Linked DNA regions of Stegostoma tigrinum. The protein of the gene in region 2 interacts with the protein of the main gene of each other region in a pairwise test. Links are inferred from orthologs where the notes say so. Each region holds a gene or a part of one and is shown on either strand. Other genes may lie near its edges. The genes, in order: tnksa and SH3 domain-binding protein 5-like.

Region 1 (15,770 bases), on a different chromosome or scaffold from region 2:
GCTTTTCTGTTAGGCTCAATTTCTCTGACTGTTGGTTGATTTAAAATGTCCAGTTTTGGGCCCATGGTGGCTTGACCAGTTTGTAGAGTCTTCACAGCTAATAATAAGTATGGAGCTGGAGGAACACAGCAGGCCAGGCAGCATCAGAGGACCAGGAAAGTTGATGTTTCAGATCGGGATCCTTCTTCAGAAATCAGTTTCAGATTTCTGAAGAGGGATCCCAATCTGAAACATCAACTTTCCTGCTCCTCTGATGCTGCCTGGCCAGCTATGTTCCTCCAGCTCCACACTGTGTTATTTCAGACTCCAGGATCGGTGGTGCTTATTATCTCTGCACAGCTAATATATTCTTTCAGAAATATGATGTACAAAACTAAGTGCAACTTGCTTCTGAAACTTGTCCACTTTATTTTCCTCTCTTTTTTAAAAAAAAACTTCAAGGTCCAACATTTTGGCAATTTTTCCTAATTTTCTGCTGCCTCAAGTTTTTTTTTTCTCATACTTTTTTACGAAATGCCTTGCTCTTTAATGTTAGGCAATCTTTTTATAAAAACACCCAGCAGTTATTTCAAAGATTACTTCTTTAAAACAGAGATAACAAGGTGTAGAGCTGGATGAACACAGCAAGCCAAACAGCATCAGAGGAGCAGGAAGGCTGATGTTTCAGGCCTAGAACCTTCTAGACCTGTCTAGGCCTGAAACATCAGTGTGCCTGCTCCTCTGATGCTTCTTGGCCTGCTGTGTTCATCCAGCTCTACACCTTGTTATCTCAGATTCTCCAGCATCTGCAGTACCTGCTATCTCTTTTCTAAAACAGATATGTTTCTTTAGCTTCCAGCCAGAAAAGTATTGAAATGGAGAGTCCAATCACATTTCACTCATTGGGAATAATTTTTGTAAAGCTGACGCCATTGTATACACCTCCTCTCCTTTGGCATGGTATTGATTGATGGCAATGTTCACTACTGCTACCTCAAGTTGATTAAACAGCTGTGGTATTCTACCTGGCCATGAACTCAGCTTCCTCTCCCATAACTTGTGTGCGCTGGCAATGTTCAGCAAGGGTTTCATGGAGGTGAGATGGCATCGAAGAACTGCAACTTTCATCCCAGCGGTACAGCGAAGGGGACTCATGACTGGCCATCAGGCCCATGATGGAGCACTGAACAAGGATTGTAAAGTTGAACACCCTTCCTTTTTCTTAAAAAACTTTTCTGTCTTTATATTCTATGTTTTGGTATATTTTTCTGTACTTTAAAGGTGGCACCAGAAAGTGGCAACATGACAACACTTTTCACTGTATTTTGTAACAAATTACACATGACTGTAATTAAAAACATCAAATCAATTTGTTTTCTAATTTTACCTTTATCCTATCACCACTGAAACTGTAGTCTAAGACTTCAACCATTCAGGTTTGATTTCCATAGTACTACTCCTAATCAATCAGAATCCTTCTTTAGGCCACCAGTTTTCTGGATTTCCACAAGACAATATTAATTAAATCTTAAGAGTGAGATTCTTTCTCTGATCTACTGTTTTAATTTGAAGTAATGTTCTCAAATTTTCAGCCCTTCCCCCAAGCTGCTGTGAGCAAAAGACTTCAGTTCCTGCTGTGCCTGTGACTGGAGACCGGTTGCACTAGTTTCTTGGCTTCAGCTATAGTTTGTTCCTGGTCATTCAGCTGTATTAAGGTACAAGCCCTGGTTGCTTCTGTGAATTTAATGATCATTTCCAACTTGATCATATTTCTGCCTTCCAACTGATTTTGTACACCTCCTGGATCTTCATTCAGGAGTGGTTTACAAAGTCACTTACTTTAAAACATTTCCATGGAATCCCTACAGTGTGGAAACAGGCCATTCAGCCCAAGAAGTGTACATCACCCCGCCAAACAGCATCCCACCCAGACCCATTGCCCTATCCCTGAATTACCCATGTCTAACTCACCTAATCTAAACGTCCCTAACTCCACAAAGGCAGTCCCCCAAGGTTGGAATCGAACCCGGATCTTTGGCGTTGTGAGGCAGCCGTGCTAGCCACTGAGCCACCATGCCACCCCTCCGTTACTTTACCCTCCGTTTCTGGTTTTTACTTGTTTCACCCTTGTCCAAACATAGACAACTGGTCATTGGTTCACCATTTAGCCTCCAATTTACTTCCACTGTAATTGTTTCAACTTTGACTTTAAGTCCCTTCTTTTGCCTGCTATCTAATTCATGTTGAGGACATTTAAAGGACTGACAGTCCTTCACTCACATCCATTCTGATTTGATGTCATAGAGAAGGTGACACCTGGACAAGGGTGACAGATTGCACCAGACCAACATCCCTACAAGGATGGAGTGGGGGGTATGCTGGTGCTGTTGGTGGGGATTGAAACTAGTTTGCCAGGGCAATAGAATACAGAATAGAGGTACAATACAGAGTGATCCACACATAGAGAAGACCAAATCAGTCTGGAAGACGGAGTCTTCATAATCTAGTTAAGGCACAAAGAGCACGGTAAGGTTAGATAACATTTAACTGAATGCAAGGTGTAAGGCAGATGAGTTGAGGATGCTGCTTACTAAATGGGGATATAATTACTACCCAGGGTACGGAAACTTCAGGCCAGTCAAGTGGTGGAGCAGGGAGTTGTAAAAGAGGTAGTGTTGCAGCAATGATCAAGGAGTTAATTCTGGCAATATGGAGGGACGATATCTTTGAAGAATCCCAAATTGAAGCCACATGATAGAAGTTAAAAACAAAAAGTGGAAGTCCTCCAGTTAGGAGTGTAGTATAGGTTCCCAAATAAACAGTTAGAAAGAGATAAAAAGGCAGATTTGTGGACACATCTCAAGTGAAAATTATTAAGGTAATAATAGTAGGGGATTTCAACTTTTTTACTCTTAACTGGGATAGAAATGTGAAAGGCTTAGAGAGGTGGAACTCTTAGAATGTATCCAGGAGAACATCTTGGGTCAAGATGTGGTAAGTCCCACAGGTGGTGTCGAACCAAATTTTATGGAACAAAGCTGGCAAGAGGTAGAAGTATCAATTGGGATGCATTTTGATGACCTGACCATAACTCAGTAAAACTTACGGTATTTATGGTACATGATAAACGTGGACCAAAAATAAAGGTTCTGAATTGGGAAAGGCCAATTTTAATAAGACAGCAATGGCCAAAACAGAGTGGGAGGAGATGCTTGTAGGAAATGTACATAAGAGCAGTGTGAGTCATTTGAAATGGACATATGAAAATAACCTGCACTTTACTAAGGGTGAAGGGTAGGACCAAGAAGGCTAGAGAACCCTGATGTCGACTAATATATATGGATTAGGAAAATAGGTAAGGTTAGGGCTGATACTGGGGACTCAAAATAGCAGAAGCCCTAAAAGAGTGTAGAAATCGCAGGAAGTTATCTCAAGAATAAGGTACAGAACAAAGAGGAGGCATGCAAGAAAACTGATGGACAAAATAAAGGTTTTGCACTGCAGTGGTACGTAGATGGGGTCTATTTCAATATATTTGTTTATCACACTGGTGGTTGAAAACCAGGCCTCCAGGAATTCGTCTTTGTTTTGCTTGTCCATTGTTACTTTGTCCAGTTAAACTAGAATGTAATAGAATGAAGGAGAGTTGGCCATGCTGTTTTGCTGTGAGTTGGTGTTCGTGTATCCTGGTGGCAAGTTTCCTGCCCATCTGGCCTATGTGGTGCTTCTCGCAGTTGCTGCATGGTATTTTGCATATCACATTTCTCCTGCTCATTGTGGGTATAGGGTCTTTCGTCTTTGAGTGTAACTGGCAAAGTGTGGCTGCTGGTTTGTGTGCTATCATTATTCCAACAGGGCGTAGGAATCTCATAGTCAGTTCTGATATATTTCTAATATAAGGTAGGGTGACCAGTGTGTTGGTGTTGTTTACTTGCTAGGCATCGGTGGATAAAGCTGTTAGGATACTCATTATTTGTAAAGATTTTGTACAGATGTTCCTCTTTGTTTTTGCACAGCTCCAGGGTATTGCAGTGTGTTAATCGCTCGTTTAAACAGAGTCTTGACACAGCTCTGTTTGTGGTCACTGTTACTGTTGTAATTCAGGATTTGTTCTGTGTATGTTGTCTTTTTCTATATACACTGGTGAGGAATTCACCATTGTTTATTCATTCCAACATTATGTCTAGAGTTGATTGTTGTTCTCTATTCCCCTGGTGACTAGTCAAACCAAACCGGACCATATACATTCAGGGTGGGTCAGAGTAACACAGCTTCAACTGAAGCTATACAGTGCTGAAGATGTCACAGGGAAAACCAGATAGCTCAGCGAACAAACCAACAACACCAACCACAACCCAAGCTGAGATCACAAGGTGTAAAGCTGGATGAACACAGCAGGCCAAGCTGCATCAGGGGAGCGGGAAAGCTGATGGTTCAGGCCTAGACCAAGCTGCAGATCTTTGCTAAAACATTATAGCTGTAGATGAGATTTTAAGTTAGTTGTAAAAGAAACAGAACAAGAAGGCAAAGATTTAGAGAGTGTTGTGTAACTGAAGCTTTTGTGATGTGAGAGATAACTTTTCCACACAGTGAGCAGTTAAGAATATGGGATGCACTAGCTGTAAATTCAAGATTAACACTTGAAACACCATAATGTACAAGGCGACAGGCACGATGCTGCAAAATAGATAGTTGCTTGATGGCAGACACAAACACGAAGAGCCAAACAACCTCTGTCAATGCAATAAGGCTCTAGAACTCTCTGAATCACCAAGCTGATTAATCTGTCTGACTTTGATTGATATCTAGGTCAGAAACTCCCACCGGATTTATCAACAAACAAAAGAAAATTAAAAGCCAAATTTATTCCTTAACAGTTAGCAACACACGTTAAAAGCTGCTACTAAGCAATCTTAAGCAATGTCTCCTTTAAACCCAAACCTGCATACAATAATTCACAAATGGGACACATGGCTCTGCAGAAATATGATTGGTGGAAAGTATTGACAAAAAAAGTGTTCTGTGGTTCAACAGTCAGTTCCACGGGTGGGAATGAGATGCCTTTATAGTTTGTTTTTTGGCAATTGTATCATGTTACGATCAACTCCAGAATGATAGAAGATCCTCATTTTGGCAGGAGGTCAATGGATGTACGATTTTACTTGAGTTGTAAGTTGCTACCAGGGTCTTGCAGTGTGGACTTTTTATTTTGACTCTCAGATAGAGACCAGTTTACTTCCCTTGCAGACTTTCTGGAGGTCTGAGTTTTACTTTCCCTGATCTCAAGCCTGTGTCAAATTGCAAGTTAAATACTCAGAGGCTGTTAGAACTGACAAAAACTGCAGATGCTGATTTCTCTCCACAGATGCTGCCAGGCCTGCTGAGCTTACATAAGAATTAGGAGCAGGAGTAGGCCACATGGCCCCTTGAGCTTACCCCGCCATTTAATGAGACCATGGCTGATCTTTTTGAGACTCAGCTCCACTTACTCACCCACTCACCATAATAACCCTTAATTCCTTTACTGTTCAAAAATTTATCTAGCCTTACCTTAAAGACATTCAACGAGGTAGCTTCAACCGCTTCACTGGGCAGGGAATTCCACAGATTCACAACTCTTTGGGTGAAGAAGTTCCTCCTGCCCTCAGGCCTATATCTGCTTCCCTTTATTTTGAGGTGATGCCCTCTAGTGCTAGTTTCACCTGCTAGTGGTAACAACCTCCCTGCCTCCACCTTATCTATTCCCTTCAAAATCTTATATGTCTCTATAAGATCTCCCCTCATTCTTCTGAATTCCAATGAATATAATCCCAGTCTACTCAGTCTCTCCTCATAATCCTACCCTCTCAACTCTGGAATCAACTGAGTGAATCTCCTCTGCACCCCCTCCAGTGCTACTATATCTCTTCTTAAGTAAGGAGACCAAAACTGCACACAGTACTCCAGGTGTGGCCTCACCAGGACCCTATACAGCTGCAGCATAGCCTCCCTGTTTTTAAACTCCATCCCTCTAGCAATGGCAGACAAAATTCCATTTGCCTTTTTAATTACCTGCTGCACCTGCAATCCTACTTTTAGCGATTCATGCACAAGGACACCCAAGTCCCTTTGTACAGCAGCGTGCTATAATTTTTTACCATTTAAAACATAATATATTTTGCTGTTATTCCTACCAAAATGGATGACCTCACACTTAACAACATTGTACTCCATCTGCCAGACCTTTGCCCAATCATTTAGACTATCTAAATCCCTCTGCAGACTTTCAGCGTTTTCTGCACACTTTGATCTACCACTCTCCTTAGTGTCATCTGCAAATTTTGACACACCACACCTAGTCTAAACTCCAAATCATCTATGTAAATTGTAAACAATTGCGGTCCCAACACTGATCCCAGAGGCACACAACTAGCCACTGGCCGCCAACCAGAAAAACACCCATTTACCCCTACTCTGTTTTCTACTGGTCAACCAATCCTCTATCCATGCTTTATTATCCATGCTATTACCTGTAATAATGTGCAACTTTATCTTATTTTGCAGCCTTTGGTGTGGCACCTTGTGAAATGCCTTCTGGAAATCCAAATACACCACATCCACAGGTTCCCCATTGCAATTAATGTCCTCAAAGAATTCCACCAAATCAATTAAACATGACCTACCCTTCATGAACTCATGCTGGGTGTTCCCAATGGGACAATTTATATTCAGATGTCTTGCTATTTCTTCCTTAATGATAGATTCAAGCAATTTCCCCACTACTGAAGTTAAGCTAACTGGCCTATAGTTATCTGTTTTTGTCTGCTTTCTTTTTTAAACAGTGGTGTCACATTGGCTATTTTCCAATCTGCGGGAACTACCCCTGAGTCCAGTGAATTTTGTAACTAATTACTAGTGCATTTGCTATTTCCCCCATCATCTCTTTTAGTACCCTGGGATGCATTTCATCAGGGCCAGGAGACTTGTCTACCTTTAGTTCCATTAGCTTGCCCAGCACTGCCTCCTTAGTGATAATGATAATTTCTAGGTCCTCACCTGCTATAACCATCTTGCCATTAGTTTTCGGAATGTTATTTGTATCTTCCACTATGAAGACCGACATGAAATAACTGTTTAATGTCTCAGCTATTTCCTCATACCCCGTTATGAAATTGGCCTTCTCATCCTCCAAAGGACCAATGTTTACCTTCACCAGTCTTTTACAATTTACATATTTAAGAAACTTTTGCAGCCTGGTTTCATATTCTGAGCTATTGTATTCTCGTAATCTATATTACTTTTCTTTATAACTTTTTTTTGTGGCTTTCTGTTGGCCTTTAAAGATTTTCCAGTCTACTAATTTCCCACTACTCTTTGCTTTGTCGTATGTGTTTTTTTTTCAATCTGATGCTTTGTTTCCTTAGACATCCATGGCTGGCTCTCTCTTTTCCTGCAGTTCTTCTTTATCACTAGAATATACTTCTGCTGAACACTGCAAGTCCTCCAATGTTCCTCAATTGATCCACCATAAAGTTTTTGCTCCCATTCTACCTTAGCTAACTCCTCCCTCATTCCTTCATAGTTTCCTTTGTTTAAGCACAGGACATAGGTACTGGATTTAACGTTCTCATGTTCCATCTGTATTTTCAATTCAACCATACTGTGATCGCTCCTTCCGAGGGGGTCCCGAACTGTCAGATCATTAATTATTCCTGTCTCATTACACAGGATTAGATCTAGGATAGCTTCCTCCCTCGTAGGTTCCATTACATATTGTTCAAGGAAATTATCGCGGATGCATTCTACAAACACCTCCTCAAGGGTGCCATGAACGACCTGGTTTGATCAATCGATATGTAGATTAAAATCCCCAATGATAATTGCTGTACCATTTTTACATGCATTAGCTATTTCTATGTTTATGGTCCGCCCCACCACAATGTCATTATTTGGTGACCTATAGACCACACCTATCAATGACTTCTTCTCCCTACTATTCCTACTTTCCACCCAAACGTTTTGTTCAGTAGAACCTATAATCATCTCTAACTACCGCCCTAATATCATCCTTAACAAATCAGAGCAACACCACCTCCCTTACCTTCCTGTCAGTCCTTCTGAACAGTTTGATACCCCTGGATATTTAACTCCCAGTTATGACCATCCTGTATCCATATCTCTATAATGGCCACTAAATCATACCCATTTGCCATGATTTGTGCTGTCAACTCATCCAACTTATTTCGAATGCTCCGAGCATTCAAATAAAATTTCCTTATGTAAGTTTTTGCACCTTCTTTTTGGGTCCTATCACCTTCATTACTAACAGCTCTCGAGTTCTCCTTCCCTTTAATTTTTTTCCTAATTTTCAATGGAGTTGAAGCTTCTTTGTCACCTGCTAACCTGTTGCTTTGCCTTACATTAATTCTTATTCTCCCTCTATGCTCACTTCTCCCGTCCCCACTACTTACTAGTCCAAAGTCCTATTAACCACCCTATTTACTATTTTCGCTGGAACTCTGGACCCGGCCCTGTTCAAGTGGAGTCCATCCCAGTGGTATAGATCCCTCCCGCCCCAGAACTGATGCTAGTGCTCCATGAAAAAGAAACCTTCTTTCTCACACCACTCTTTTAGTCACATGTTTACTTCCCCGATCCTCGCCTCCCTAAGGCAATTTGCACGTGGCTCGGGTAGCAATCCAGAGATTATGACCCTTGAAGACCTGTTTTTTTAAACTTTTGTTCCTAGCTTTTCATAATCCCGAAACAAATCTTTTCCCCATTCCTGCCTATGTCGTTGGTCTCTACATGGACCACAACAACTGGATCCTCCCCCTCCCTCTCTAGTATCCTCTCAAGCCAGTCAGGAATTCTTCGCACCCTGGCACCGGGCAAGCAACACACCATGTGGGATTGTCTATCCTGCTCACAAAGGATACTGTCCATCCCCCTGATGATGGAATCCCCCACAACTACAAACTGTCTTTTTGCTCCTCCCTCTTGAATGGCCTCCTGGGCCATGGTCAGTTCCTGCAGCCCTGTTCCTCATCCACACAGGGGGCAAGTGCCTCACACCTGTGGGACAATGTCAAGGCTCCTGTGTTCCTGTCTGCACAGTCCCTCTACCTGCCTCACTCAGTCACACACTGCTGTCCCTGCCCGCTGATCAAATTAACATTAGTTAATCTACCAGGTGTGACTGCCTCCTGGAACACAGCATGCAGGTATTTCTCCCCCTTCCGGATGTGTCACGGCGTTTGGAATTTGGATTTCAGCTCATCAATTTTGAGCCAGATCTCCTCAAGCAGCCAACACTTACTGCAGATGTGGTCACTGCCGTTCTCAATCAGATCAGCTAGCTCCCACATCATACAGCTACAACACATCACCTGGCCTGCCACCTCTACTTAGTTAATTATTTAAAATTAATTAGATTTTTTGTAATTTTGCAGTGTTCTCTGCACCAGTTTTCTCCGTTATATACTCAAACAGACTCCGGCTTTGCCTTCCAACCTGCTCCCAGAGGATTTGGTGTCTAGGTGACCAACCCAAAAGATAACAAAGAGATGAGGAAAAAAAAATGCAAATAGCTTACCTGCTCACCACACTTAATCATTATTATTAGGTTAGGTTACACGTGTAGTATCTTGGGTATTAGTTAACTCCCAGATTCATTGGGTGGAAGCTTACCTTCCCAGGATGCCCTTGTGCTTTCTCCCAGACTCCTGCCACTGATACAACTGAAATTCAGGTTTATCCACCAATTTCTATTTTCGACTCAGAGGCTGTTTCTAGGCCAGCTTCTCAACCCGACAACTCTTCAGCAACGCGTCACTATGACAGGCTCCAGCTTTTGACCCGCCCACGAGCACAGGTGAGCGCATGCAAGGAGTTCCCAAATCGGCCAATCAGAGTTCGGGCCAATCAAAAGGCCCTGAAGAATGACCAATCAGGTAGCGAAAAGCTGTCCATTGGCGTGAGGAGGTGTCACCCCGCGTCAGCCTCACCACCACCCCCCGATCCCCCCCCCATCCCCGAAACATGCCCGTCCGTAGGGCCGGTGCTGGGTACGTGCACGATGCGCGTGCGCTTCACTCCACTCCACCCCCACCTCCCGACGGGCGCCGCCGCTTGGTGTCGGCGTGCGCGCTCAGTGCCTCAGTGACGTAAGCCGGCGTTGCTGCAGTGACGGTCGAAGATGGCGGCGCGGCGGAGCCAGCTCTCTCCCAGCGCCTCGGACCCCGGCCCGAGCTCCACCCCAACCCCGACACCGGCCTCCGACAGGCCTGATTCGCCAGGATTCACCGGCGGCAACGCCACCTCCCCGCCTTCCGGGGCAGCGGTGCCGCCGCCGCCACCACCACCAACAACTACAACAACAGGAGGTGGAGGGGGGGCGGTGAATGACTCGGGCCGAGAACTGTTCGAGGCCTGCAGGAACGGCGATGTTTTGCGGGTGAAGCGACTGGTGGATTCGGGCAATGTGAACGCCAAGGACATGGCCGGCAGGAAATCCACGCCGCTGCACTTCGCCGCAGGTTTGTACGTCGATCAGGCTTTTAGAGCGGGGCCTATAGGAGGTGGGGCGGTCAATGATCTCCTAGTGTGCGGATGGGAGTCCGGGGCTGAGATCAAGAACCTCAAGAGGCCTGGACTCGTCGCCGTCAAAACAACGCAACAACTTTGGGATCGGGGCGGGGTGAGGGATGAAGATGTTGCCATGGGTTTGAACAAGGGTAGGAACAAGGATGGCTTAAAATCAGAGTCCGAACATGGGCCCTCTTCAAACTGCGGATACTGCATTAAAAGAGTGATAGCCCCATACGATCTTTGTCAATTATCGTGTGGCAGTAATTCATATTATTTAAATGGACTTCACAGAGATCGGGAGCTGGAGAACGTGTTAACGGGAATGGTACGGGGAGGATAAATCTTCATTTCGCGTTGACGATGTAAACATTAGTTTCATTATTGGGTCATTTGTAACAGCAGCGGCGGCTGTGTCGAAATTTTGTTGCACACAAGTCTGTTCTCAAGTAAAAGTACCTTGTCAATTTTGGAGCATTTGAAAATGGTGGTAGTGACAAGGCCAACCAACTCGCCCACTAACCTCCTCCACCGTCGGGATGGCTCGGATCTGAGGAGCTTGGAGAGGATATTCCCAAGAAAGGAAGGTTTAGTCTCGATAAAATAGGTCTTTTCCTGTCTTCTGAACTGCTCCCCATTAGCTTAAAAGTGCATATCTAATTGGTAAAAGGTTTGGAGGCCATAACATTAAGGAGAGGCAGCAGTGTAGTGGTAATGTCACTGGATTAGTGAACCAGAAGAGACTAATAGTGAGGACATAGGATCAAATCCAACCACGGCAGGTGAATTTTAATTCAGTAAAAAATCTGGAATTAATTGAAGCTGGCCTAATGACAACCATATAACCATTGTTGACTTGTAAAAAGCCACCTTGTTTTTTCGTGTCCTTTAGGGAAGGAATCTATCATCCTTACCTGGTCGAGCTGTATGTGATTCCTAATTGATGGCTCTGCAGTGATGAATGCTGGTCCAGCCAGTGATGCCCACGTCCCATGTCCAAATTAATAAAAGGGCTTTGTGATACACAATGAATCATAGCATCTGTACAGTGCAAGTAGAGGCAATTCAGCTGTCAGGTCTGCACTGACCCATTCTATCCTATGTTTACCATGGGTAATCCACATAGCCTGAACACTGCGGGGCAATTTAGTATGGCCAATCCACCTAACCTGTGCATCTTTGGGTTGTGTGGAGGAAACTGAATTCCCCTTTGGAAACATACACAGATACAGGGAGAACGTGCAAACTCCACACAGTCACTCAGTTGTACCTTGGTCCCTGATGCCATGAGGCAGCAGTGCGAACTACAGTGGTACCATGCTGCCCACCTACAATGGACCAAATGGTTGCTAAGAATTTCCTTGGTGTGACTGGCGAATACATAGATCGCGTGTCCTGGTTTAAGAGGATGCATAGACTGGATAAGTATTTTGTGGTTTTGCTTTTTTTTTCCCCCCGGTTTGGGGAGTGAAAGGAATCCAGAAGTATTGTTAGAACTCACTGATTTTTAAAATTTATTTTTGTGTTATTCTTTTATTAATTTTGGTTTATTGCTGAGAACTGTGAACTGAAGCTGTTAGAAACAAAAATAAGCCATTGTTTGTTTGTGACGTCAAGTATGAAAGTTAATTACAGGTTGATTCTTGATCAAAAGGATTCTATAGACTATTTGACACTGGGGAAAGCTGTCTGTCTAACCAGACAGCAGATGTTTGGCCATTGACAATGTCAATACCTGGGAATTCTTACCAGCAAGTCTGCAAGGGAACATGATTGGCAAACAGAGGGAGGGCCAGAGTTTGAACTGGTTTTTGGACTGGTTTATGAGAGGAGGAGTTTGTTGATGTTACAGCATGAAAGTTGGAAAGCTCCTTGCCTAACCTCCTCTTATCAATTCTTGGAAGTTCAGAAAATGTAAATAAGTAATGCCTTCCTTTAGCATGAACTGAAAAGATGACATTGATGTCTTAGGAATGTCAACCGAGAAACCTTTGTTTATGCCTGCAGAACAGACATTGTGAAAACCCCATAAGTAATCTGGCCAGTTTTGTTATTTTTATTCATGCCTTAACTCTGTCTGTGTATCTCTTTGTATGAAAGGAGGCTGCAACAAAGGTTTTTGGGTTTCAATCATCAACATGAATGAGATTACTTGCTGTGTTAATAAATTGTTATCTTTTGTTTAAGTTTGTAAACCCGGTGTCAAGAATTGATTATTCACAGTTTAGGATTGGTTATTCAAAAAGTCTGGCCAGGAATCGTTGGGGTCTACTTTGAGAGTTTTTGAAGGTTTTAATTTCACTATGTTGTGAATACAGATGTGGAAAAGCTGGTTTGATTTAGCTTTCTGTCTCTGTGTCGTAATAGTATTTATTCACAATGTAGAAGACACCATATTGATTGTATGTTCTTGTAATGTAGTACTTTTTGTTCTTGACTAACGTTATAAGTGATAAATGTAAGGTCCCTCTCTGAAAAGCCGATACAGCAGTGTGGGTTATAACTAAAATAGTCAAAGTACTCCTCTGAGCACAAAGTGTGGAGCTGGATGAACACAGCAGGCCAAGCAGCATCTGAGGAGCACAAAAGCTGACGTTTCGGGCCTAGACCCTTTCGAAACGTCAGCTTTTGTGCTCCTCAGATGCTGCTTGGCCTGCTGTGTTCATCCAGCTGCACACTTCGTTATCTAGGACTCTCCAGCATCTGCAGTTCCCATTATCTCTGACTCCTCTGAGTCCCTTTAGTTTTGTTGATTCTGATAGAGTTTTTGAATGCAGTGAATCTTCGCAACTTAAAATATGCCTTGCAAAGGTGACCTTTCTAAAATACCAAATCAGAAATGAATAAAGTTGATACTGTGACTTGATTCTGTGATGTTAATTATTGTAAATAAGTCCAAGCCAATTCCCATTTTTAACTTAAATTTGCCTCATCAGGAATTAACAGTAACTTCAGTTGTTGTACTTTATCTTTCTGTTTATTGCAGATCTTCCTTTTTATCAGTGTTCTGGTGAGATATTGCAACATTTTAACCCAGCAAGCTGTCAGTGAATATTTCTAATAATATGGAGACCAGAGCCATCATTTATATTTAATTGTATTGATACCTTATCATTTTAAATTGAATCAGATTAACATTTGGTTGAATGGGACGTTATTCTCTTGGCATCAGCTAGCTGAAATATTTATGAGAAGTGAATTTAAGTAAACTTTTTTGTTTGGATTTTGTTACTTTGAGGTAAGCTTGAAGATTTCACTTGATTTGGAGTTTTATTTTCCTCCATTTTTGCCACAGAGAAGGAAATTTGGCTTCTTAAGTGTGTTTAGAATTAGTGGATCTTTGACTTGAAATATTCTTGCATTCGGTAGGAAACTTAAGTCCAAGTATGACGACTACTTTACTGATTAAATAGATACTTTTGGCTAAGTGAACTCAATTATACAGCATCATTGCCTCTGGCTGAAGCATTTATGTAGTCTATAAAACAGTTGTACCTTTGAGGTGAGTGTTCATTTTTCAGTGCCTTCAGGTTTTTTAAAACACATTTTTATTCTGCTGTATAAAATATTTATTTAGCAAGGAATACATTAATACTAGGTCAACTGGAGTGAAAATAATTTGGACAGCTTTGGACATGTTTGTAAACAACTGACGATTTCTTAAGACGTAGATCAACCATTATGCTGTAGAATGAAAGGAGAGGTACAAGGTGTTGAAAAGGCTTCTGTCCCCATGCAATTGAAGCAGTTAAGACCTGTGACTGATGTGAATTACATGGTTTGCTACGGGATAGGAAATGAGATTGTGCTGATATCCTGTATATTTCAAAGTCAGCAAGGCCTTCATGTTGCTGGGAGAATTTACGACTCAATTTTCAGCAGTTCCAAAATGGTATTTTAAAGGCTAATGATATTTAAATGAAAAATAGAGGCTGTCATGGGGCTTCAGGGACTTGTATTTACTTTTTTAATGGAAATAGTGAGGCAAGAGGTGATTGGGGACTGAATGTTTCCTCAGCCAGGAGGAGAATATGTTGTTGACAGCTGTTCTCAAACACATCACATATAGACAAATACTCGTGACCTCATTTTACTGTGAAAAGAGCCATTCACACTTTGGAGACATTGTATGGACTTAGTTTCTTTTTTTCCATCAAGAAAAACATGATGCTAGAATGTTCAATGGTTTGCTTTAGACTTTTCAAACTGCCTGTTCATAGAATATAGAAGGATGTAGCACAGAGGGATCCCAGCCCTTTGAAAGAATATCTAATTAGTCCCATTTCTTTGCTCTATCAAAGTTTCTCCTTCAAATTACTTCTTAGCAATTGACTATTTGGTCAAAAGTTTCTGTTTTGAATTCAGCTCATGTATGATTGGCAAATATTGCTGAAAATTTAGTACTAGAATAGATTATTTGGAATGTAATCTGTAAAATTAGGAAATTCCTCTTTCACAATTGTTAATAAGCTGTTTGAGGCACTAAGAGATATTGATTGAATGATGATCATCATGATCCTCCATTTTAAGGATGAAGTTTGTGAATTAGTAAAGCTAGTTTTTAATTTATCCTGAACTGAGTGTTCGGTTCAGATGTTTTTGCATGTTGTTCCATTGGAATGGGGCAGAATTGGCCAATGAAACATTTGATAGAAAGAAAATTTATCTTTTTAGCAGAGATCTAGTTTCAGACTTGTTTTCTTTTGCCATGGGCCCTGTACCTCACTGTATACCCTAGTTTTCAAATGCCAATGCCTGCTGTCCATAGCTGAGACAGAGCAGTGGGGTCAAGATGGTAAACTGTCTAGCATTCACCAGACAAAGCTATTGCCAAAATTCATCCCATTTTTAAGTTATATTGCCAAGTTTAATTTTATCATTTGCATCTATGGTAGTTGCAATTGGGTGTCCCCCTGCCTTCTCCAAAGGATTGTTATTGGGGGTAATCAAAACAGTACCCAGCTGATGGGAAATTTGAAACAAAAACAGAGAATGCTACAGAAACTCAACAGGCCTGACAACATCTGTGGAGAGAAAAGTGAACATTTCAAGTCAGAGTTGAAATGTTAACTTTTTTTTTCCACTCTCTCCACAGATGCTGTTCAACCAGCTGTGTTACTCCGGCATTCCCTGTTTGTTTTAGATTTCCATTTTCCACAGTATTTTACCTTTATTTGATGGGAAACTTGATGGATCAAATGACATTAGGTTTTACACTACATGAG
Region 2 (15,090 bases):
TCTATGACTCTATAAGAACATTCAATGAAGTAGCTTCAACTGCTTGACTGGGCAGGGAATTCCACTGATTCACAACCCTTTGGGTGAAGAAGTTCATCCTCAATTCAGTCCTAAATCTGTTCCCAGTTATTTTGAGGCTATGCCCCCTAATTCTGATTTCATCTGCTGGTGGAAACAACCTCCCTGCTTCTATCTCATCTATGCAGTCCATAATTTTATATGTTTCTATAGGATCCCCCTTCATTCTTCTAACTTCCAATGAGTATAGTCCTAGTCTATTCAGCATTTCCTCGTAAGCCAACCCTCTTAACTCTGGGATCAACATAGTGAACCTCCTCTGCAAACCATCCAGTGCCATATATACTTTCTCAAGTAAGGAGAACAAAACTGTACATGTTTTATGCAACAAATAGAGGGGGATATCTCAGAAATTAAAATTGCTCATATTGTAACAAGCAGATATTATGTGTAAATGAAACATGTCAGTGTCACTAAGATCCTGGAAAAAAAAGACTTACATTTAAATGGTATCTTTCATGACTTCAAGATGTCCAAAGTGCCTTACAGCTAATAAAGTAATTTTTAAGTGTAATTCATTGTCTAAAGTAGGAAGTGACATTTAGTTGTCCACCATGGGGGGGCACGGTGGCTCAGTGGTTAGCACTGCGGCCTCACAATGCCAGCTTCGATTCCAGCCTTAGGCGACTGTCTGTGTGGAATTTGCACATTCCCACCGTGTCTGCGTGGGTTTCCTCTGGGTGCTCTGGTTTCCTCCCACAGTCCAAAGATGTGCAGGCTAGGTGGTTCGGCCATGCTAAATTGCCCGTAGTGTACAGGGCGTATGTGTTATAGGGGGATGGGTCTGGATGGGATGCTCCAAAGGGCAGTGTGGACTTGTTGGGCCAAAGGGCCCATTTCCACACTGTAGGGAATCTAATCTAATCAAAAACCTAATACCATCGCCTCAGAAAGGAAATCAAATTTGGAGCAGAGAATCTTGGGGAAACAAATGCCACCTCTAAAGCTGGAAATACATCACTTTGATAGCTCAGGATCTAACATCAGCACTTTAGAGAAACAAGATATTCAGTGTAGCTGTGTTAATCCATAAGAATAAAGTTCTACATTGAGATCTGTGAGAACATATAACATAATCTATTCAAATTCCAAGATTGTTAATTTGATTGATATTGTGGAGTCTAATCCTAAATTAATTTCATGAGTTTTCATTAATCTCAGATCCTAGTCCTGCCAGTTTTAACTGTAAAATAGTTAGACTGAGTTACTGTAGGTGCCATTAAAACCTTCATTTTAACATTCTTTATTAAACAAGTTACATATTTGGATCCTTAAGTAAATAAACAGACATTAGTTTATGGCTTTGATGTCCACTTCCTTTGATATGCCATGATCTGCACTGATTGATATAAAGAAATTTTTCAGATATTTTCTAATCAGCCTGTTCAAAGATATCATTACACACCTCTGGAGCAGGTGGGATGATTCCAGGCCTCCAGGTCCAGAGGTGCGGAACTATCACTTGACCACAAACACATTATAAAGACAGTTCCATCGATTTTTTTTTTAAACATTAACTGTTCAGACAACATAGGCCATCTAAATTTGAGATGGGGTCACTACCACTGTATTACAAGAGCCTCTCACAGACAGCATGCTAAGCCAAACCTAAAAATTGCCTACACCTTGAGGTCAGTTAGGTGGTAAAATACTAACTGTGAACGGTTAATGAATCATTTTTTGCCTTTAATGAATATAGAGACAGGGTACCAAACCCAAAACTTTTACACTTACCTCCCACCACCTGTGATCTACCCTTCACTCATTAAAAACCTCAAATACATACTGCTTGTTTTGTACCTTACTTTCAGTCTCTTATTAATTCTCAAGATGCAACCTAAGTTCTCACAACTACAAGTTTAATGAATGTTGTTTTATGTGGAACTTTGTCAAATGTCTTTAGGAATCCAGGCGCACCAATTTGTCTTTACAGCATAATAACTTAATAAAAAGTCCTAAGGTGTTTCACATAGGCACAATGAAAAGTAACAAAATGCTGCATGAGACTTTTTCATAGTCCTGCTCTGTTTGCAGTGGTTAACATTAATCTATGCATTTTTCAATTCTATCTTTAAGTGTCAGTCATAGCTCAGTGGTAGCATTCCTATTTCTGTGTCAGATGTTTGTGGGTTCAAATCCCACTCCTGAGATTTAAGTATGTCACAAGACTGAATTGGGAGTGCTCGGATGTACCCAGTTTCTAACTGATTTAAGTGTTAGACTGGGGCTCAATCTACCCTTGGACTTAAAAAATCAAAGGGCACTGTTCAAGGGAAAAAGAATAAGTTCTCCCAAGTGTTCTGGCTAATATTTATCCCTCAACTGGAAATAAATGATCCACTGCACTAATTTTTGTGAAATCTTGCTATGTTAGCTGCCACACTACAGCAATGATTACAGTTTAAAATGTACTTCAAACACTGTAAGGCATTACAAAAATTAAGCTGGTTAAAGTCATAGAGACATAGAAATGTACAGCATAGAAGCAGACCCTTCAATCCACCTCATCCATGCTGATCAGATATCCTAAATTGAGCTAATCCCTTTTGCCAGCATTTGGCTCACATCCCTCCAATATACCCATCCACATGCTTTTTAAATTGTGTAAATGTACCAGATTCCACCACTTCTTCTGGCAGTTCATTCCAAACATTCACCACCCTCCGTGAGACAAAGTTGCCTCTTAGGTCCCTTTCAAATCTTTCCCCTCTCATCTTAATTCTTCGCTTTTTAAAATAAGTGCAACATGCTACAATGTACTGTATAATGGAAGGAATGAAATCCCTGAAAGGTGGATTCAATCATGAGAGTGTTGTGGGAATTCTAGGTGCTGCTTTGCTGACACCTGTTTGTGCATATTTCCACATGACTGTCTAAGTAGAAAGGTTCACTCTCCTGATTTAGAAATCCCTGAGGCAGGCAGACATTCTGTCCCAATCAGTTGCCAATGCTGCTCTGGAGGTTTGTAAGTACATAACAAACTGATCGATCTGCTGATTACATTTCTTTCTCTCCCTCCCACTGGAGACTTACTTAGCGTCTGTTTGACCCAGTTATGAAAGAGAACATTGAGACTCAGTTTGTGATGTAGAAGTGTGGAATCAGCCCATCAATACAAGTCGTTACCTAAAAAAAGTGTTACAAACATGAATTTTGCATAACTCAAAACATTCTAATTGTTCTTCTGTTTCAGTATGTTCAGCAATCGAAAGTATTTCACATGTAAATGCTTTCCCCTTCTTTCATAATACGTAAGCATTGCTCACAAGACAAGCATCTGTTGCCCGGAGATAGTAAGAACTGCCGACGCTGGAGTCAGGAATAACACAGTGTGGAGCTGAAGGGACACAGTGGGCCAGGCAGCATCAGAGGAGCTGGAATGGTGACGTTTCAGGTTGGGACCCTTCTACATTTGTTGCCAATCCCTCACTGGCCTTGAATTGAGCGATTTGCTTCGGAGTTCACCACATTGCTGTGCATCTAGAGTCACACCTAAGCCAGACCAGGTAAGGATGACAGATTTCCTTCTCTAAAGAATGTTAGTAAATCAGATAGCTTTTATGGTAATTGTTGAATGCTTCATGGTGAGACTAGTGAGACTACCTTTATGTTCCAGGTTTATTAATTGAATTTATATGTCACAACTGGGTTTAGAGAGATATGAGCCAAATGATGGCAAATTGGACTAGGTCAGATTGGGATGTCCAGTCGGATGGGTGAGCTGGACTAAAGAGTCTGTTTCCATGCTGTGTGACTTTATGACTGCAACGGTATGATTTGAGCTCATGCAGCCAGACCACTGACCTGGACCTTGGGAATTTTAGTCCAGTGACATCAATACTACATCATCATGCCCTCACCCCCCGCCATGATCTGAGCGTGCTTCCATTGAGCCACTGACTGACACTTAAAGAGTCGTATTAATTACTATATACAGCTGACCGAAGCACCCTAAAACCAGCTATATCCAACACAAGTTCAGTTTCACCTCTGATTCACTCATACAAATACTCGAAGTCTGAAAAAAACTTGTCCTCTTTGCTGCTGCTGAACACAGTATGCAGTATCCAGTAGAGATCAAATCTAACTTCAGTGACTGTACAAGCTGCACTGCAGCAACTTGCCAAAGTATTTTCAACAGCTCTTCTAAAATCTACAATTTCAACCACCTAGGAGAATGACATCGCCTCACCGTCACTTCAAGGTTCCCTTCTTAATCACATAACCAAACTCGGATATATATCACTGCTCCTTTATTGTCACAGTTCTGGGTGCTATGTTGAACCTTTAACGTTTGTTCAGCCTGAACTGAGATGTGATGTTAATTCTGACAACAAACATTAGGAGGATGTGAAGAATGTAGGGAGAATCATGGGGTTCCAGGACAAGAGACTTTTGTGTAATTTGAGGAGTTGGGATAAAAGCAAAATTCAGCAGATCTCTCTCCACAAATGCAGCCAGACCTACTGAGCTTCTTCAGCTCTTCCTATTAGGGAAGCAAGTGTTGGACATTTAATAATAGAGTTCAAAATCAAAGGGGATCCAGATGGAGTAGATCAATACAGACAAAGAAAATATTTCCATTAGTGGAAGGTTGAAGAATTACAGAATATAGATTTAAGAATATAGATTGAAAGGCCAACATGAGGAGTATGTTTCTTAACACAGTGAGTGCCAACAGTCTGGAATTTACTGACTGACAGGATGGCAGAAGCCAATTCAATTCTGATTTCAAAAGGTGGTCAGATAAGCATCTGAAGGGAAAGATTTACAGGATTTATCGGGAAAGAGTGTGGAAATAGGGCTAAATTGTTCTTGCAGAAAGCTGGCATCTGGCCTGAGAGGCTGAATGTCCTCAATCTGTACTGTAACCATTTTATGATGCTTTGATTGTACTACTTAACAATACATATGGAAGTACTGTCACCACACTTCAGGAATACTCATGGGTAACGTTTTCATGTGCGATTAGCAATAACTAATAAACTCTGGCCTTGCAAGACAGGCCTCCATTTTTGGAATTTTTATTAAATGCAACTTGGAAATTCTGCTTCATCTGCTGAACTTGTATTATTTTCTTTTCTGTTCACAGACTAGTTAATTTTCCATTCAGAGAGGATAGAATTTTTTTGCACAAAGGGCAAAATGGCATCACATATTTATGTTTATATGAATAAACAAATTGTTGCGTATTCTCAGAATCTATGTGGAATATGACAGTTCGATGAGTACATAGATGTTGGAGTTGCATCTCTCTGGGCAACTGGAAAACTTTGCTTCATGTTTCTTTGGTGTGCCTTGAGGTGAGGTTTTTGGCAGTCAGGAGATGAACTACTCATCACAGAATTTCTGTTTAAGTTGCCATTGTATTTATAGTTACTTCTATTCAACCTGTTTGGGTATCTTGTGACACATCCTGGAGCAGGTGGAACCTGAATGCAGGCCTTCTGGTCTAGAGACAGGGACACTACTGTTGCACCACTAGCGTTTTTGCCATGGCATTTACAGGTATTTTCTATTCAACCTGTTCAGAAATATTATTAGACACCTCCTGAACAAGTGGAACTTGAAACTTGGCCTCCTAACTCAGAAATAGTGACACAACAACTGTGCCACAAAAGCCCTGTCATATAATGGCATTATATGGTGGGTTTAAGTCAATTTCTGCTCAATAGGGACCACAAGATGGTTATAAAAGTAGAGCTGTTTTTTGATACTTTTGGAATGTTTGCTTTGATTTGCAATTCCATGGACAGTAAAGCAGTCCATCTCAACACCCAGCAACACATGAACAACAGCCAGGATTTTATTGATAAATGGGTGCTATTGTTTTGCTTTAATCGGAGAGTGTTCCTCTCTCTTCAAAGTTACTGATATTCTTACCCATTGTAAACCTTATGTTGAATTGTTTCATCTGCTGCTGTTCTACCTCTATAATGCTCAATCACATGACTGCCCTGACTTCATCATCACCCCATCATTCGCCACTAGATTCATTCATTTTGGTTTCTGAACAACTCACAGCACTAAGATTCGAGGACTTCTCTTTATTGTGGACTAGCGAGTTGCCTCAACACTTCCCATGGATTAAATAAATGATTGACTCCCCAATCTAGACTCCTGTTGAAGTCAGGTTGCATAGCTAAATTGACCTGGTAACTTTCTGTTACTGAATCTCTGTTTTTGTTTGAAATTCAGAAAGCTATATTGTTCCTTGAATTAAATTATTAATAAAATCCACCTATTTCTCTCACTTAGGCAATTTTCCAAGAGGATGACAGACTAATACAAATTAACTGAAGAACTAAGATGAGTCAGTTCATTTCTCAGACTCTTTATTCTTTCCCTCTCCGTCTTTAAAACAATCCATAGAACCTAGTTATAAATGAAAAGAACTGCGGATGCTGTAAGTCAGAAACAAAGACAGAAATTGTTGTAAGCTCATTAGGTCTGGCAGCACTTGTGGGGAGAAATCAGAGTGAACGTTGTGGGTTGAGTGAACATTGTGGGTTCAGTGACCCTTCCTCTGAGATTTACCAGGACATTGCTGGGTATGGAAGGTTTGAGTTATAAAGAAAGGCTAGATAGGCTAGGACCTTCTTCTCTGGAGTGTAGGAGGTTAAGTGGCAACTTGGTAAAAGTTTATAAAATAATGAGAGGAATAGATAGAATTAATGGTAGCTGTCTTTTACCTCAGATGGGGATTTCAAGACTAGAGTATGTTATTTTAAGGTGAGAAGAGAGAGATTTAAAAAAAGACGAGGAAATTTTTTTACACAGGGTGGTTTGCATGTGGAATAAACTTCCTGAGGAAGTGGTGAATGTGGGTACAATTACAATGTTTAAAAGACATTTGGATAAGTACATGTATAGGGAAGATTTGGAGAGATATTTGCCAGGATCATGTAGGTGGGACACATTTAGACTTGGATTATGTTAGGCATGGATTGGTTGGACTGAAGGGTCTATTTCCATGCTGCTGGACTCTACGACTCTTGAGTTCTTTGAGCAAACCGTTCATCACCAGATTTCATAGAATCCCTACAGTGTGGAAACATACTTCCTTATGTGACACAGTGTAACATGTTGTCCTATAACACTACTTTGAAGCTTTAAGGTATTCTGGTTGTTAAATGGACTATAAAAATGTTTGTGGGTTGTTGAATTAAGTGAGAAAAAGATTTAACCAAGGTTTTACATTGCTTTTTAATTGCTCATTTTCAGACTTTCACTATCTTGTATTGATTAATAGTAATATTTCCCAAACAAATAATATCTCAGCTTCCTTCATTTTTTGAATACTGATAAGCATAACAGATGATTTTTACAAAGGTTTAAAACAAACGAACAAAAAAAAACAGACGTTTCCTCTAGGAATTTAGCTCCCAGCATACAATAATCTTATTTCAGTACAAACCATATTACTATGGAAGAACAGAAAATGAATTGAACGTTATTACCACAGCAGCAGACTTTGAGCGGGTTTTGCTGTCTGAGCTCCCTTTCTTGGATATTCTGTTGTGTGCATTCGCACTGCATTTTTGTCTGTCATTGTAACAATTTCAAAATAATCCTCTATTTTCATTAGTGAAGTTAATTTGAGGGAGGAACTGATACTATGAATGCTAATCATACCTTTCCACATCAACACGGTGTTTCATTCCAAACTAGAATTATACGAATTGTTGCCTTCAATATGGAACTCAATGTAACATCAAAATGCTTGGTTTGTAGCGGATCCGAGAGGGTGCGGATCCAAAAGACAGGTTTGCATTCATACGGCAACTTTCATGATCTCAAATAGTTTACACCTAATGAAATATTTTTGATATGGGATGAGATAATAAGCAGGTTGCATGTTTTTGTAATGTGTGAGAGGAACAAACGTTAGCCAGGACAAAAGGGAGAACACGCCTTATCTCTCTAAACTCATGCCACACAATCTTCACACGAGAGGGCAGAACAGGGCCTTTTAACGCGTCGTGCAAAATATGCCACACTCCATCAATAGTGCCAGCGCGGGTTGTGTCCTCCAGCCTGAACTGGGCGCTACAACTTAGTGACCCAGTATTACCCAGACTGGGCAGTGAGTGAGCTCTGCAAGATGCTGTGTGTCAGTGAGATATTCTGTAAATTATCTCCGAATCAGCACAGGGGTAGCCATCATCCGTGATGCAATCCCAGCCCGTTATTTCCAGAGCCAATAAAGGACATGAAAATAAAAGCAATAATTGAAAGAAATTAATTCTTTAGAGGGAGAAAGAGAAATTGCTGGAAATAACCGCTGGTCTTAGATTGGTAACTGCATCCTCCCCTGCGGGTAAGTGAAGGTTGGGGGGGTGCGGAGGTAAATTTTCAGCCTTTATTACGCCTGTATCTCATTAGAACAAAGCAATCGCCAACAAGCCCAGAGTAAGAGGAAGGGGCGGAGTAGCAGCGCACTGAGGAATCCTGGAGAATGTAGCCTCTCTGACTCCGTTTGAACGAGCTGTGCTAACGTCGCTATTGTATGACAACGCCAACCTCCTTTCATCCTGTCTGTGGATATATTTAGAATGATTTTCCTCCTACCAGGGCTCTGAACGACAAGAGTCTGCATCCGAGAGGGCGGCGTATATTTCCTCCGGACACTTCAAAAATGTTGAATTATTGCAGCTTTTTACGCGTCCAAGTTTTGCTGCCTCGTTCGTTGGAGCCTGTTTTAGTGGAAGAATGAATTCCAGATGTTTCTGCAGGATACAGCAGTGTTGACTCCGACAACGTCTTAATCGATAGTGAAGCCAATTCTGTTTCACTTCCCTGAGTGTTTCTCTCTCTCCTTTTCGAATTTCGGTCCTAGCTTGCATTTTTTTACATTCTCCCAAAATAAAAGAGACTGAATGCTGTAAGATATAAATAATTTAGTCGCAAAATGGACGGGTTGTCGAAGAAGAATGAGAAGTTAGAAGTGCCAGAGGAGGAAGAAGTCGACCCAAGGATTCAGGTAAACATTTTTGCCAAAACGTTCCTTTGGAATTGGTCGGTTTTGTGGCTTGTACTAACGTTGCAGTCCGGTGGATGGGTTATTTTGTGAAGCTTCACCGCATAACTGCAAAAAATATGTAAATGGCAACTTGCTGAGAGATGGGAACCAGAGAATATGGTTCCCACAACAAGTTACAGTTCGCATTTTTTTGCAGTTATGCAGTAAAGCTTCATGATTATGTGTGAATTGTAGGAGACCTTCTGAGTTTATAGTCTACAGTCAGGAATCCGTTTGCAGTCTCCAGTATAATGCGTACAATACTAAAACCCCATTATTGTATATGCAGTACTAACAGCATGGTATATGTATATTGTACTAATACCTTGGTAAAATGTATGCTGTTTCAGTGCCCTCTATAATGTATACTGTACTGATAACTCCTTTTATAATGATCTGGGATCAGAAGTAAAACTTTAACCATTTTCATGGAGTTGAGCTTTTTTTGTGTTCTCAGGGAGATAAGCTTTAATTTTGGATATGTTATTGGTTAAAATAATATTTCACTTCTATCTTATTCACGTAATCTGATTTTTAAAAAATCTAATGCTTGTACTTGGCTGTGACATTGCTAACTGCAGTTTTAAAACAGCCTGGTCCTCTTTGTTGCATTCTGTAGGTCTTCTCCCTCTTTGTGTATCTGTCTGTCTAAATTGTTTGAGGTGTGTGAGAATAGCCTGTTTTCCTCATCAGCCATTTATATTTGAATTTCTTTTTAAATGGACATTTTCCATTAGCTCTTCCCTTATCAAATTTGACTTGATTGTTCTACCAAACCATGCTGCAGCAAAGAAATTGGGTGTTGCAACGCCATGATATAAAATTTTATGTGCTGGGCTGTTTGTGGAGGACAGTAACTCTCTGGTTAAGCTTCCCACTAATTGCATGGGCAAGGCTGTCGCTAATTGCTTCCTGAACTCAAATTGCCCAATTGTATTGTTCAAAAATCTTTTTTCTTTGTAAACGACATGCTTTTTTACTTTTAAGAGAGGCCTACTGTCTTTTATTGACTGTAGTCTGATTTTGGTGTTTTGAAGTTTTCCTGGTGCCTTTACTCAGTGTTCTCCACTTGGAGCTTGATATTGTCCTAATTTCATAAATCTGAAATTGAGAAGTTGATATTAGTGAGTGCAACTGTCAAGCTATCGGATTGCCTTAAAAACCCCATGTAATTCGTCTGTTTCCTTTAGTGAAGGAGACTCACTGTTCTTTACCTTGTTTTCCCTATGATCCAATGCCACACCAGCATGCATTCCTTTTAGTGTTTTTACTAAGGTAGCCTAACAAGCTCAATTACATCACCTTAAATGCCAGCTTTGCTTGTCCATGTCCTGCAAATGAATTGAAAATGGTCTAACTTCTCAGACTCTGTAATATACGGTGAATTTTTCCCCCATCTATTAACAACCCAAACTATTGTGAGCCACCCAACGCATTCCAACCTAAGCCAAACTGAACTCAAGCACTAATTAAGATAATTAAAATGTGAGGCTGGATGAACACAGCAGGCCCAGCAGCATCTCAGGAGCACAAAAGCTGACGTTTCGGGCCTAGACCAAGCACTAATTCATCATTTGTCTCTGAGGATTTGCTTTGTCTTATGGCATTATTCTATACTGTCTTGAGTAATGTTTTCTGCAGCTGCACACCATGAAAATCACTTCGTATTTAAACCAGTTTTCCCCATTGCTGTTCCTTCAAAAGTACAGTGCTTTATGTTTTCAGCATAATTAATTTGCCTCTCTCCTCTCCGCCCTCACTGTCCGTCATGTTTTGTAGTCTGTAACCATAAATTGTTGGACCTTCTTGCTTCAGTTTAAATTACCAGTTACTATAGGAGCACATTAATCAATGACATTATCACCAGGAATTCCTGTTGACATCTTCATATTCGATGAAAGACGGGTTCTGTGTAAATGCAGGTCCAATGGGAACCTTAGGACAAAGGTTTTGAGGTATATTAATTGTTTTATTTGTAGGAAATTTGCTTATAACGAGGTGCAGATGTCAATTACATAACCATTAGTTAATCAGTTTGTGATGTTACTTGAGGAATATTTATCGGCCAGGATGCCAGAGAGAGTGTGAAACAAAAATAACAAGCTGACTGAGAAAACAAAACTGCAAGTCTACCCAAGTCTGCATTCTCAATGCACTCGTGTGTCCTGCATATCTCTTGGCAGGATGATCTTATCAAATTTTAGGTGTTGGAGTGTACTAATTCCATCATTACTTGCTCATTATTAATACTGATGTCTGTACTGGCTTGGCCACATCCATTGGGTGGATGATGGCTGCTTATCTGAAGATTTCCTGTTTGATTAACTAGCCATTGGGTTACACCTTGCTGGATATCTACAACTCAGGATACCTCAGGCAAAATGTAATAATGGCAAACATTTACACTGACAACTAGGAGAAGGTCCTGATGGCTGAGGCCTCTGGTGGCTGACTGGAGAGACTTTAGAAGAAGTGCTATGAAGCAGAAACTCAGCTGGCCAAGATATGGGCCCAAGGAAAATAGATGCTGACAAATCTTGCATCTTCTCGGTCCCCTGTCTTCATCCACAGCAAATACAGGTGGAAATGCCTTGCCAAAGTGGGGATCCTGATCCATGAGGTGATAGTTGAACATGATCCACCATCTTGTAAACCGGTAGGTTGCCAAAGCATCAGTTATAGTGATGAGTTGAGAGATGAATATTGGTCAGGGTGCCAGCCAGTGCAAACTCTTCAAAATTGTGACCTAGGATCTGTTGCACATCTATCTGAAAGGACGCACATTCAGTTTAACTTGTCATCCGAATGACGGCACCTCTGACTGTAGGGCACTTTATTAGAATTTATTATTCACTCATGGAATGTGGTGCCATTGATTTGGACAGCATATATTGCCCATTCCTTATTTCCCATGAGAAGGTGGTGCTGAGCTGCCTTATTGAACAACTGCAATCCACATGCTGTAGGTTGACCCATAATGCCCTTAGGAGGGAATTCCAAGACTTTGACCCAGTGGCAATGAAGAAATGGTGATATATTTCCAAGTAGGGAAGGTGAATGACTTAGAGGGAACTTGAAGGCGGTGGTATTCCCATGTATCTCCTCCCCTTGTCCTTCCATGGAAGTAGTCATGGGTTTGGAATGTGCTGTCTGAGGACCTATGGTGAATTTCTGTATTGCATCTCGTGGATAGTACACACTACTGCTAATATACATCAGTGGTAGAGGGAATGGATGCTTGAGGATGCGGTGCCACTCAAGTGGGCTGCTTTGTCCTGCATGGTGTCAAGCTTCTTGTGTTGTTGGAGCTGCACTCACCCAGGCACGTGTAGTGTATTCCATCACATTCCTCTTTTATGCCTTTTACAGATGGTGAATAGGCTCTGGGGAGTCAGGTGTTGAGTTAATTGCCATAATATTCCTAGCCTCTGACCTGCTCTTGTAACCACTTTGTTTATGTAGTGAGTCCAGTTGAGTTTCTGGTCAGTAGTAACCCCAAGGATGTTGATAGTGGAGAATTCATGATGGTAACACCATTGAATTTCAAGGGATGATGGTTAGGTTGTCTTGCTTGAAATTTGTGTGGCATCACTGTTACTTGCGACTTGTTAATCCAAGCCTGGATATTGTCCAGATTTTGTTGCAGATGGATATGGATGCTTCAATATCTGAGTAGTTGTGAATGGTGTTGAACATTGTGCAATCACTTTCATTGGATTGACAGCTTAGATTTTATTCAAGAATAGGATTTGCATTCAACCTTCTATCTCAAAGCAATGATACTATTAGGTCAGAGATTGGAGGCACTGAAAATGCTGGAGAATCTGAGATAACAAGGTGTAGAGTTGGATGAACACAGCAGGCCAAGCAGCATCAGAGGATCAGGAAGGCTGACGTTTCTGGCCGAGACCCTTCTTCAGCCTTCCTGCTCCTCTGCTGCTTGGCTGCTGTGTTCATCCAGCTCTACAACATACAAGTCAGCCAGGGTTGATGCCTAAATTAAATAATGTGGATTTTAAAATAAATAAATGCATAAATTTAAAAAAACCCTGACATCCACAGCTGCATAAGCATTGAGACTGTTTGCTGTATGAGCCTGCTAATACTCAGGTAGACAGCTATGTCATTACAGCTGTTAGAAAATATTCTCCATTGTACTTAAAGTTCTGGATGTGAGTTTGCTTGCTGAGCTGGAAGGTTAGTTTTCAGGTTAGTGAAAACGAACCTTCCATCTCAGCGAGCAAACTCACATCCAGAACCTCAACCTGAGCTACAAATCTTCTCAAAACTCGCTTGTACTTAAAGTGTTAATTAAAATAAGTTTACAACGTTTGTTTTATGAAAAGTGAAAATGAAAGTTTGTGCCTTTCTAAAAAAAAATTGAGCCCTTCAAATGCCTACAATTAGTGAATATTTTCTTTTCAGAGTATGATGGCACAGTTTCAAAAATCGTAAATGGAGCTTTGACAGTTTCTTGACCCCATTAAGTGCTTTTCAATTATGGAATATGTTACCTTCTTGTACAGATGTTTTGGAATTTTTTTTTGAGCTGGAATTACTGTAAGCTACAACTTTTTTAAAATTCTGGTTAGGAACATAAGGAATAGGCCAGAAGGGCCTTTGATCTGGATCCACCATTCAGTTAAATCATGACTGTTTTATGACCTACTTCCATAGACCTGCAATTTCTCCATATCCCTTAATGTGTTTAGTTAACAGAAATCTATTAACCTGAGATTTAAAATTAACAATTGATTTGGTATTAGTCACTATTTGCGGAAGAGTTTTCAGCCTGTGTCAGCTTTGCTTTTCTAACTTCACTCCTGAAAGACCTGGCTCAAAATCATAGGCTACATCACCTACTTCTGGATTTCCTCAACCAGTGATAGTTGTTTCTCCCTGCCCACCTTTATTTGTTCCAATTTTAATAATTTGAAAACTTTTGCTCAAATGACTCTCTTATAACTTTCTAAATTGCAAGAAATGTAACCAGGATTTGTGTAATCTTTTTCCTTATTCAATTTCTGAAATCCCAATGACGTTCTAATAAATCCCCACATCCAGAATATGCTATCTTAGGTGTGGTATAGTCCAACTGTGGTCTAATCAGGGTTTTACATATGTGGTAGCATGATTCTCATTTTTTTAAATATAATTCTCTAGATATCAAGTCCAGTATTTCACTGTGCTTTGTGATTTTTTGTTTGTTTGTATCTGTCCATGATGTTATTGGTGCTCATTTTTAAAATCTGAATATTGTCATGGTGCTAATTATAGTCTGTAGTAATTTTATGGCAACAAATTTTAGGCTAGCTCATCTATAATTCTATGTTTCTCGTGGAGTAGAATAACAAGCACAATTTTCCAATTTAGGAATAGTTCCTGATTTACTCTAACTTTGAAACAACATCATAATTAGGGCATCTGCAATGTTTCCACCTCCTTCTTTTAAATGCCTAGGATAAGAACTGTGCAGTCCTGGAGATTTATTTCTCTTTTGTCACTACTTTTGTTTCATTTGCACTAATTTGATTTTCTAAAAAAAAAATTAGCAGATTTGCAATTAGTTTCTTTGGGACATCCAACGTCCTGTTATCTTCCTATGCTGTAAATACTTTAAACCCTGTCTACAGTTTTTTCATTTTCATATTTAAAATCCTTGTATCAAATTTTGATAAACACTTTCTCAGTATCATTGTAGTAGTTTTAAAATATTGATTTCTTCCTCAGCATTATGGAGTTAATACTGATTTTTTTTTTATATGTCTGAATTTCTGTAAGGTGCACCTATATGAGGAACCAGGTTGGGGATTTTTGTTTTTGATTAGAGTTAAGTTAACATTTGCAATAAATGGGGAATTTCGAGAACCATACAGCACGGAAGCTATTTGTTTTATTGTTCTTTTACTTACAGCTCTTTTGAGCTATACACTAACAATTCCAGCCCCACCTTTTTCTCATGTACATGTATGAACAGGAGTAAATTAATC

Evidence for each region.
Region 1: the proteins of SH3 domain-binding protein 5-like (region 2) and tnksa interact in a two-hybrid assay, tested with the Homo sapiens proteins (2 studies listed by BioGRID and IntAct). The link is inferred for Stegostoma tigrinum from reciprocal best matches to the Homo sapiens genes SH3BP5 and TNKS.

Annotation. Positions count from the first base shown.
Region 1 is NC_081356.1:13,987,075-14,002,844, forward strand, and holds the start of tnksa (poly [ADP-ribose] polymerase tankyrase-1), read left to right. Parts: upstream 1-10,103; 5' UTR 10,104-10,156; coding exon 10,157-10,496; intron 10,497-15,770.
Region 2 is NC_081355.1:21,864,011-21,879,100, forward strand, and holds the start of SH3 domain-binding protein 5-like, read left to right. Parts: upstream 1-8,161; 5' UTR 8,162-8,989; coding exon 8,990-9,061; intron 9,062-15,090. UniProt on the Homo sapiens protein: Functions as a guanine nucleotide exchange factor (GEF) with specificity for RAB11A and RAB25. Inhibits the auto- and transphosphorylation activity of BTK. Plays a negative regulatory role in BTK-related cytoplasmic signaling in B-cells.